Linked DNA regions of Caenorhabditis elegans. The protein of the gene in region 1 interacts with the protein of each later gene in a pairwise test. Each region holds a gene or a part of one and is shown on either strand. Other genes may lie near its edges.

What was found.
Region 2: the proteins of F27C8.2 (region 1) and rbm-5 interact in a two-hybrid assay, tested with the Caenorhabditis elegans proteins (one large-scale study listed by BioGRID).

What each region holds. Positions count from the first base shown.
Region 1 is NC_003282.8:9,594,750-9,599,619, reverse strand, and holds F27C8.2 (N-acetyltransferase domain-containing protein), read right to left. Parts: upstream 3,265-4,870; 5' UTR 2,473-3,264; coding exon 2,272-2,472; intron 2,220-2,271; coding exon 2,099-2,219; intron 2,048-2,098; coding exon 1,886-2,047; intron 1,836-1,885; coding exon 1,729-1,835; intron 1,682-1,728; coding exon 1,517-1,681; intron 1,397-1,516; coding exon 1,250-1,396; intron 1,184-1,249; coding exon 941-1,183; 3' UTR 533-940; downstream 1-532. Other genes in the region: aat-1 (Large neutral amino acids transporter small subunit 1), read left to right, coding at 1-59, 125-186; F27C8.3 (T2SSG domain-containing protein), read left to right, coding at 3,767-3,967, 4,020-4,064.
Region 2 is NC_003279.8:6,214,139-6,220,440, reverse strand, and holds rbm-5 (RNA-binding protein 5), read right to left. Parts: upstream 4,669-6,302; 5' UTR 4,651-4,668; coding exon 4,594-4,650; intron 4,523-4,593; coding exon 4,454-4,522; intron 4,383-4,453; coding exon 4,273-4,382; intron 4,146-4,272; coding exon of another isoform or gene 4,083-4,145; coding exon 3,850-4,082; coding exon of another isoform or gene 3,824-3,849; exon of another isoform or gene 3,764-3,823; coding exon 3,648-3,763; exon of another isoform or gene 3,319-3,647; coding exon 3,187-3,318; intron 3,139-3,186; coding exon 2,989-3,138; intron 2,942-2,988; coding exon 2,837-2,941; intron 2,791-2,836; coding exon 2,673-2,790; intron 2,624-2,672; coding exon 2,417-2,623; intron 2,374-2,416; coding exon 2,257-2,373; intron 2,212-2,256; coding exon 2,132-2,211; intron 2,089-2,131; coding exon 1,926-2,088; intron 1,878-1,925; coding exon 1,515-1,877; intron 1,466-1,514; coding exon 1,185-1,465; intron 1,126-1,184; coding exon 792-1,125; intron 747-791; coding exon 604-746; 3' UTR 529-603; downstream 1-528. Other genes in the region: rps-17 (Small ribosomal subunit protein eS17), read left to right, coding at 1-73, 236-292; T08B2.15 (Activin_recp domain-containing protein), read right to left, coding at 5,171-5,215, 5,265-5,354, 5,397-5,516, 5,559-5,669, 5,714-5,776; fars-1 (phenylalanine--tRNA ligase), read left to right, coding at 5,866-5,921, 6,018-6,128, 6,225-6,302.

The sequences.
Region 1 (4,870 bases):
CGTCTACGGAATTTTCATCGGATGGAAAAACAAGCCAAAATGGTTCAATGAATTCATTGGTAAGTAATTTTCAACAAATGTTTTTTTTCTTCATTTTCAACTTGTCAATTGTACCGTATTTCAGACAGCTCAACTGTTTTCATTCAAAAGCTATTCATGGTTGTCGACGAGGATAAGGAGGATTAGAATTTCTAAAGTTCAACTTTCGGTCTCGGGTTTCTTTTTATTTCATTTGTCAAAATTCAATTTTTCAAAACTTCCACAATCCACCAGTATTCTTTTTATCTGCGTTTTTGTTTCACTTTGTCATCCGAACATCATCATTTTATCATTAAATTCAATCAAACACAAAAAATACATTCACAGTTTCGACGAGGCTTTAATTCTCTTTTTTCTTTTAATTTTTCGTGAAATATCGTGAAATAAATTTATTTCAGTGATTATTCTGAAATGTTTATTCAAACAGCAATTGAGTTCCTTTCAAGAAAATAGTATCAAAGTTAGCTGTTTTCTGAAAAGAGAAAAATAATTTAAACAAGTAATGCATTTTATGGTGGATAGCTTTGTAACTTCACAGCTTTGTATCTGCAGAAATGTTCAATACATTGATATAATTATATGCAAATAAAAATTCCACAATAAAACTGACACACTAAAAAAATCTAAAACTGTTGGCACTTATTGAAAAGTTGAAACAGTATATATATATTTTTCCGAATTTTCGTTTTTTGAAGAAATTGATCAGAAATATTTTAAAATTCGAATGGGAGAGTTTAATACTTGGCTATACTAACAAATAATGAATCAGAAAACATTTGAATATTGTGTAACACCAAAACTTCACATACTATCGTAACAATACATTGTTGGTACTTATGGGAAAGGTGAAACAGAATTTTTTTTTGAATGTTTAGTGGTGTCAACAATGGAATTACACCATTTAACATAGAAAAACAGTTGGATCAGAAGCTGCAAAAATCATATCATGATTAATTGCCGGTAACTGAAAATTGGAACAAGTTTGAAAATAAATTCGATCTTTGACCATGCTTCCATCATTTCCAGTTAATTTTTTCAGTAACGGAAACATTAATGATTCACAATTTGAAAAGATAAAAAAGTTAACAGAACGACGATAAATTGCAAGATGGTCCACATCAAAGTCATAGTCGTCTTCGGGATTCTGGAAAAAATTATTGTCAGTAAGTAATCATTGCAGTTTGAAGTCTTGAAATGATTGAAAACTTACATAATGCTTTTTCAATGATTTTTGTAGTAATATTTCAGCAATTGCTGTAGACTTTGCGTGAAGTGGAGCAATTAATAAGTCAGGGATGTGGCCATCTTCATTTTGAATTTCACGAAGAATTGAAATTCCGACGCAGCTTCCTGTGTTCTAAAAATTTCACAGATATAATTGTTTTGCAAATATTGTTTCCAAAAATACGAATTTTCAAAATATTGCATGCAAAATTATTTTATTTAACATCCGGCAATGTAGCAATGACCCACAAACCTCATCAAATGCGGCGACAATTTGACAATTTTCATCGCTTTTTTCGGAGAATGCTTTCCAATTTCTTCTTTCATTTGTACATTCTTCTCCAAATTCTCTGATCCTTTCCCATTGATCTTCAGTGTTGTCTGAACCGAAATTAAGAGATATTCCAGATTTTTTGTCCTGTAAGCATTTGTAATGTATGTAGTTTACCATCAGAATTTAAAAACCTTTAAATTAGCAAATCCGCTTGAGTTCTTCACTCGAACTCTTCCTAATTTTCTCATGGTCCTTTGTTGCAAATTGAATTTGTTGACAGTTGGTAGAAGATACGAAACTTTAACAATTCAAGATTACTTTCAGAGTGTATTATGTAGAATGACTTACTCGCGTTGAAAACAATATTATCTGTGTTTTTGAGTATTTCTTCCATCAGGATTGATCCAATTCCAATATGACGAAAGTCTTCTTGTACAAATATTGGACCAATAGTAGAGAATCGATATGAACTACTTTCAGAAAGTAAAACGAGACCCAAAACTTCACCACCTACAAGAAAGTAATTGAGAACATTTTAATAATTTTCATAAGTTTACTGACGAATGTTTTTTGCGGTGAGAAGTTTGAGCTTCCCATCGTTGTTTTCAAATAGTCTTTGATACAGCAGAAAACTACTTGAATCTACAAGAAATTCATTTCGATACCACATTTCATTTGCCATCTGGAACATATTATACTTGAATGCATAAAGTTGAAACTTAAAACAAACGTACCTCTCTCCATTCTTCGTTTCCTCCCCATGATAACTTAAACCAGTATCCATTTTTGGTATATCTACCAATCCATGGATCCCCTGCATTTTTTGGGAATCCTTTGTTCACAGCAGATTTCATCGGGTACGGAAACCCAGTTATTGGATTCATTCTATCGATTAAAGAATCAATAGATTCAAGATCAGATTCGGAAGGCCACATATTTATAAAAATATAGTAGAAAATATTCTACAAGTTGAATAGAAATCAATGAAATGACACTCCAAGAATTGAACCTAATTAAATTTAATTAGCTAGGAATGGGGTGGAAACTGTATTAGATAGAAGGCAATTCAAACTAACAGTAGGAAACAACAATATGAAGATAGAAGGCGACTCGTCATCGAGAATTTAGTATACATATGCATTCCGTATTAAAATGGAAATCAGTTTTCAAAATGTATCACATATATTTTAAAAGTTCACAACAACATTAGAACCAGCCAATATTCTATCTGTATTTGGTTTTGTGTTCCTTTCAAGGTTTTTGCAACATAAATATTAGAAAATTGAACAAACTCTTTTTAACGAACAACTTGACATATTTTGGTCAAAGGCGAACCCATGGAATTTCAGCCTATAGCATTTTCCAAAAAAAACCTAAGAGTATTAAACACCTTGGCCGGCACTGTACATCAAATTTATTTATTTATTTATTTCAATACGATTCCATATGAATCGTGTCATTAGAAAAGAGTGAAAAATTAAAAAATCAGTTACCGCTTGCTCCCACCAAAACGTCACTACTCCACATAGGAACACAAAATCCTAGGCATAATTTCAATATTGACATCCTACCCATCATCTCCAGTTCCTCTGTTAGAGACCTCGGGCTTATCACCGATGATAGATTGTCGTTCTAATCGCATATCAATAGAACTTCTTTCCTTGCACTTCTTACAAGGGCAAAACAGATCTTAAAATCCTTCCCCTGTGGTTCCACTAAATACTATGTTAACTTGTTTAAAACGTATGTCTCACCAATTCTTGACTCCCACATTTACTCCCCTCCTCCTCATTCAAAGCTGTCAGGTGCATTAGAATCCGCTCTCGAATACTACTCAATAATAGTACTACAACGTAACAATATACAATACAAAGCATCAGAAGCATCACATCTTTATGTTGCAAAAACCTTGAAAGGAACACAAAACCAAATACAGATAGAATATTGGCTGGTTCTAATGTTGTTGTGAACTTTTAAAATATATGTGATACATTTTGAAAACTGATTTCCATTTTAATACGGAATGCATATGTATACTAAATTCTCGATGACGAGTCGCCTTCTATCTTCATATTGTTGTTTCCTACTGTTAGTTTGAATTGCCTTCTATCTAAAACAGTTTCCACCCCATTCCTAGCTAATTAAATTTAATTAGGTTCAATTCTTGGAGTGCCATTTCATTGATTTCTATTCAACTTGTAGAATATTTTCTACTATATTTTTATAAATATGTGGCCTTCCGAATCTGATCTTGAATCTATTGATTCTTTAATCGATAGAATGAATCCAATAACTGGGTTTCCGTACCCGATGAAATCTGCTGTGAACAAAGGATTCCCAAAAAATGCAGGGGATCCATGGATTGGTAGATATACCAAAAATGGATACTGGTTTAAGTTATCATGGGGAGGAAACGAAGAATGGAGAGAGGTACGTTTGTTTTAAGTTTCAACTTTATGCATTCAAGTATAATATGTTCCAGATGGCAAATGAAATGTGGTATCGAAATGAATTTCTTGTAGATTAAAGTAGTTTTCTGCTGTATCAAAGACTATTTGAAAACAACGATGGGAAGCTGAAGTCATTGTGGGGATAGGAGATGTGGGAAGATTTGGATTAGGGTAACACGTTGGAGAGTTCAACTTTTAATGGAATATTAAATAACCTGAAGACTATGAAAGTTTTGTTTTCACGTTTTGAAAAATATAAATATTTCCTTTCTGAACTTTTCAAAAAAAAAGTTTATATTTCTGTTTCCAGGTCGATTGATCTATTAAAAAATAAACCCTCGCATGATAAGTTTGAAGTGCAAAAGTTATCAATTACAGAGATTTTAAAAAACGTCGCACCACCGGAAAAGGGGCTTATCACACATTCCACAGATCACGGTAAAGAGCTCTGCCACAGAAGTGTGCCGATCAAATTGTTTGTGTTGGTATTTTCATAATGTAAAAGTTCAGGACAGAAAGATATTAAATGGTCAAACTTTGAACATTAAAAACACACATTTCAGGAGAAACAAATTTGAAGATATTGCCATACATGTCGCGAATACGGAGAGCAATGAACTCTCATTTACTCGACTTAACTATAATTAAACTATAAAAGACTAACAACAAGGCTCGACACACCTCACACATCATCAGGACGACGCGTCACCCCGACACAACTACCAAGATTCTCGATAAACGCGCCAATCAATAAAGGAGAACGCTTTACACCAACTACGTGAACTTCTCGACCTTCGACGTGGATTGCCCCCCCCCCCCCTCCGGATGAGCAAAAGAAGAAAGAATCAGTACTCTCTCATCTTGTCTACCCCTCGGTCGTTTT
Region 2 (6,302 bases), on another chromosome or scaffold:
CTCCACTGTTGATCCATCTCAACTCACCTCCATCAAGGTTGACACTGATACCAGCGACATGCTCAAGGCCGCTGTAAGTTTTCAAAAAATTAAGATTCAGTTATGGGAGTCCTGAAAGCTGCTTTGCCGGTTTTCAGGCTTTCCCTATCCAAAACGCTCGTTCGAGTGTTTCAGTTCGGTATGTCGAGGCGTTACCGGACGGAAAATATTTAAAATAAAATCCTCGTCATTTCAGGGATTCAACCTTCCAAACGTCACCGTTGAGGATCAAGGAAAGAACAAGGGAAAGTAAATATTCCCTGTGTTTAATTGTTATTGTTGTGGTGGATAATAAATATTTAATCTGCCAAAATGTGTTCTTTTTACATAGCTGATCAATTTCCAGATATATCGAGACTTGATGTCATTCCTGGATGAATCGTCTAATGGTGTTAAACCTGATTTGATTAGTGGTCTCTTTGTCGTATTAGAGTGGATGAGTTCATCCAGTTGTTGAAAAAATGTTCTTATTGTGAAGAAAAACTAATTCGTAGGCTATTAGATTTTATTTTATTTAACGGAAAACAAATAGTACACTGAAGGCGAAACATAAACTTTAGGAACTTAAGCGTCGTGATAACGACTGTAGAGTGCTTGCCGCGTCTTCTCTTTGTGACTCGCTTCTGCACCATGTCTCATTTTGGATCCAGCAGCACCCAAACCTGCTCCTTGAACAAATCGTTCAGCTTCAATCGGGTTAACAATACCTGAGAAAAACCATAATATCAAGCTTGTAAGCAATGTAGATTTACCTTGTGCATGCTTTCCAACTCCTTGTCCTTCTTTCCAGCCCATACTTTTCAGCAGTCTATTTCCGATGTTTGATTCGTCTAATGGGCGCTTCGAAGCTTCCTCACTAACTTTTCGGATGGTCTCTTCATGTCTCACCGATGTGGGTCCTGGCGGCCCACCCATCACATCGAATGCATAACCAGTGGAATCAATCCCGAACTGACGACGACGTTCTTTGGCTCTGTCCCTGTAAACGATCTTAGGGAGATCTGGAGCTGAAGCATCTTCTTCTTCTTCTTGTAATTTAGCAGCTGTTTCTCGTCCCCATTCGGCTCGCTTCGCTTCCAAATTGTTCTAAAAAAACTTTAACTAAGATTCCTGTCTAAGAACAAGGAAATAACTTTTAAACATACTCTATGCAAATCACTTTTTTCAACATGTTTCCGAAGTACTTCAACATCAGAGAATGCTCGTTTGCAGAGCATACATGTTTTCTTCGTTTCATCGTAAAGTGCTCTTTCCATAGCATCTCTAACATCTTGAAGAGTGGATTTCCGAGGAGCAAGTGGAACAGATGAAAATGAGGATGAAGTAGACGGTTCTTCAGAACGACGACCCCGAACTTCTTCCTCTTGATCCTCTTCTTCGTCATCATCAAAAAGTGCTGCAGTCTGTGCTATTCTTTTCTGTTTCTCTGAAAATGTTATTGATAAAAAGAAAATAGTTAAAATAAAGGCCATTACCATTAGAAAATACATTTTTCAATTCAATTCCTTTCGTCTCTTTTCCTTTTATAGAAATTTGAACTTTCTTTTTGTCTTTTTCTTGTCTCTTAGCCCATTTTGCCATATCTTTCACTAAATCCTGAGCTGTTTTTGGCCCTTCTTCGTTTTTCTTCATCTTTTCCTCTTCGGGGTCAGCTGAATTGATTACAGCTGGGGTTTCAACTGGGAAATAAGTATGATGAGTAAGATCCCAATTACACCATTGTGAAGTTGCATTATTGAAATAATAACCAGTTGCTGAATCGTAACAGAATTTTGTGATTGGATCTACGTAATACCCAAGATTCGGATCATGAGCGAATGTAAGCGGATTGGGTGGTACTGAAATGTTAATAATAATTGAAAATTAATATTTGAGCTTTTCCATACAGTATCTTGGCAAAAGTCCTTTCGGAGTCTGGGTCATTCCAATGACTCCATTTTGATGTTCCGGTTGAGTGGCTTGCATTGGAGGTGGAACAGACAAATTTGGTGGTGGAACACTGAAGTTTGGAGGAATCATATTAGCAGCAGGTGCAGGCAATCCAGTCATCTGAAATAGAGTTTTAGAATTTTCTATTAGAAATGTAACTTACAATTTGACCAACTTGTTGACTAGCTTGGCGCACAGCATTTGCTTTAGAAAGGGCAGCTGCAGCAATTTCAGCTCCAGTCACTAAAAAATTATAAAATTTAATATATTCTCTCCCATCAAACTCACTGTTTCCTTGAGCCAGACTTCCGGTAGCCACAGAATTCTTTCCAGGTCCCGCGGTTAGCATGGTCATTTGTTGTTGAATGAGTTTTGACATTGAATCACGACACCAGGAAACTTGAACTGAAAAAATATGGTAAAATCTTGAAATCAGCAAAAAACATACCATCTTTATCCTTAATTCGAATGGGCGATTTATATGTCAAATTGAGTAACATTTTTGCTTCATCCGCACTTTTCATTTGCAAGTACGCAAACCTTTTGGATTCCGACAATTTGATCATGCTAATCGAACTGAGACAAACCAGAGCACCGAGACTATCAAAAATAAGACTATTATTGATACCATCAGGAAGACCACGAATTAGAAGAGCTGAAAAATCAATTTGAATGTGTATGACAACTAAAGAAATTTCACGGACTGTCGCAAGGTGTCATTCCGACCATATGTGCTCCGAGTTTCTCAAGCTCCATTGACTGATCCTTTGAAATTTCACACTTGAAGCAGGTTTGACGCTTTACAAAATTGTTCATAGAGCACTGAAATTTGTTCATATTTTGATAATAGCTCAATTTTCTCGCGTACATGAGCACAAATCCAATCATCCCCTTTGTTTCCGGATCCAGCAGCAGGATCTCCCTTCGCATATTCTACAGCCAGAGTTCTTCCGTCATCCAGAGTCAACCATCCCTGAAAAGCGGATTTTGCATATAATTCAACTGAAAACCGTTTTGTACCTCGTAATCCGTCATCCACTGTTCTGCAGTTTCTCGATTAGAGAACTCAACAAAAGCAAAAGTACGAATTTGTTTTGTATTTTTATCGAATTTTGTCATGGTGCGCACGTCTTGAGGAAGGTATCCACATTTTCCCAATGAAAGTGTTATCTGAAAAATCTTTTTTTTTTTCTGAAATTTCAGCCGAGAAAACTATACCTTCGTGTTGTCCACATCATTTGGCATATTCAAAATTGCGAGTTTATTTGATGGAACTCCAGGATTCCAATCCGAATATCGATCATTATTTGAAAGATTGCTGCGGCGATCATCGCGACGCGAGTTTCTATCCTGAAAAAAAACTTAATTACTTCAATATTTTACTAGTTTTAATTTGAGGTATCATATTGTGTAACTGATTGAAAACCTTTTGAAAGAAGGTAACATCGCCATCGACCTGAAATTTAAAAGTGTTCAAATGGATAAATTCAAATTTTTCGACAAACAATTTTTATCAAGCTTGTCAAACCTCACGGATATCAACAAATTACGAAATCTTAAGAGCGCAATTTTCAAGAATTTAGAATATTTTGGAGAACAGATTTCATATGCCCATAGACAAAACCATACTCACAAGTAAACACCATAAATGACTACCCTTTCTCTATTTTTTCACCTACCCTTTCTCTGCTGTAGCTTCTGGAGCGTCGTCGTCTGGAGTGGCGGTTTGACGACGACCAATGAGAGGAACCATTTGCAGACGAAGGTGGTGAACGGCTTCGCGAGTGACTTCGATCTACAATCTCATCGAGAATTAATCTCCAGAACTAAATAGGAGTATAAATTCAGCCAAATTTCAGCTCAGTTGGTTGATAATAGGACCTCTTCTACGACGGCTGCTGCGGTCATCTCGGCGATCACGACTAGTTCGACGTCTAGATGGTGATCTGCTTCTGCTTCTACCTCCGCGTCTATCGCGGCTCCTGGAACGAGAACGTCTTGCTTCACGCGCCCACGAAGGTGACCGAGAGCTTTTATTTTCTCCAGAACGAGGTATAGAAATTTCTGGTTGCGTTGCCGGTGTCGTCATTATAGGAAATCCTGGTGGGGGTTGTCTGAAATCCGGAAAAACTGGCCGAGTTTGAATGACGGGAGGCGGCTGGTTGAAGATTGGTTGTCTGGATTATTTTTAATTTAATCAATAATTAATAACTTGTCAGATAATTCGAAAAATATGTAAAAAAACGGATCTGATTAAATATAATAAAGACATTTTAGCGTTCAGTCGTCGATAAAGCTCCTTACTTTTTTTCTTCATTCAGCCGGTGGATCGCTTGTTCGGTTTCTGCTAGACGTGCTTGCATTGCAACCAAATCAGGTCTTCCAGTGGTGTTGTGAAACGAATTGGCAACCTGCTTTAGAACAAAATTAACATTAATTTTAAAAGTTTGAATTTTTCTGCAAGTCGTATTCTCAGATCACAAACCCTCTGTTCTTCGTATTGTTTGTAATAGTCTTCCATTTGGCGCTGATGGTCGGTAGGATCATAGTTACCCTGGAAATTTGAATTTGATGGCAACCAGTATAGAAACATAGTTATACTCCACGTTTAATTTATTTTTTTACCTCCTCATTTTGAACCCTTTTCCCGTCATCATCAGCGTTGAACACAAAAGGTAGCATGTTCACTTGAAATTTTCTATAAATTTTCAGATATTTTAAAGTTATATTTAACACATTTTGTAGTTCTAGAATGATTTATTCAAAAACAAATATAATATAAAACATTTTGCATTGCAATAAAACGTGTGAAACCAAGAAGAATCGATGAAAAAACGGAGAGCGAATGTTTTCGGACATCACTCTTAAAGGCGCGTAGGAATCGGACGCTTGACAGGTCTCGCATGGAAGAGAAAGAGCGGTGTAGGTTTACGAGTGACATTATTTCATTTCTTCATTTTCAGGAACGTCTCTTATAGTTTTCCTGAAATTTCCATATTCTTTTTCAAATATAAAATGATTTTTAAGTTACTTTGCTTCCATTATATACTGCCGCGTGTCTATTCTTCCAATAATTGGCTGAAAAACTTTTGTTTTATTGTAAAAAGCTCCATTTAAATTCATACCTCTCTGCAAATTATCTCTATCATAAGGACAAACAATACAACTGCAAAAAAGCTGAACACAATCAGACCATCAGTAACTAATTGATCAAAAAAATTGATTTTGTCGAAGAGTACTTGTTTTTCTGAAAATTTAGTCGAAACCTAAAGAGTCCTCCCTTTTTTAGTTTTTACCATGACTTTCAAGTAGTTCGCATTATTGCATAGAGTGTCTCGACAACAACACGATTTTATTTCATCGAATATAAAAATTCCATTTGTGTCCTGAAATCACAGGAATATGAAATTAAATGCCTGAGGCGTTACCAAATTGTTAATAAATTCTCGTTTGTTGGACGTAGGAGAGCAAAGAAAATTTGTTCGCCAGTGTGTAGTGTTCATACATCCACTGTAGACAATTCCATCAATTATATCTGTCTTGCAAGCCTGTTACAAGTTAATTTGATTATGAATCGTTAAAACTCTCACATTGAATAGCGAAGAACCTTCAGTGCCATAGCATTTTTGTCGTTCTAGATTGAATTGTCCATTGAGAATATTTTCCACTGGCTCCGAAATGTGATAACACTCGAAAGCTTTCTGAAAATCATAGTTTTCCAGTAATTTCTAACTCGATTATTCACATATTCACGCCACTGATACGAATATTCGAAACAAATTAACAGACACAATACAAAACTCCACATTTTAAATGAAATATACCCATTTTCTTATTCGTAATGCCTGATCTCATGTCACGCAAAATTTCAATATTTCAAATTCAGTTTTTTTTCGGATGACCGATCCGGATCGTCTCAACCAAATTCTACAAGATCAACCATACATTGAAGGGTGAATTTTTGTAAATTGCATGAGTATTGTATTAAACGTGTGATGTGCTTGTAAAACTAGTATTTAGAGGTTTGTTCTAAAAAGTAAAAATTGAAGGTTCGTGCAACCATCGGCCGCCGATTTCTCTGCGAGAGCTTCGATAACAGAAAAAGAATTGAAAGGGCGAGAGCATTTGGAACGCTGGTTTCAGCATTTATCATCTTTTGAGTAAGATATCCATATCTAGCTTCTTTCATTGATTTCTTACTGTTTCTTAGTTTTAACTTCACATTTTACTCAAGTTTACATAATTATTTTTTTTAGAATGACTGCTGAAACTGATGTCCGATCAACGGAGAACCTACCCCAACAAATCCTCGATTTCCTTCAAGAATCGAATGA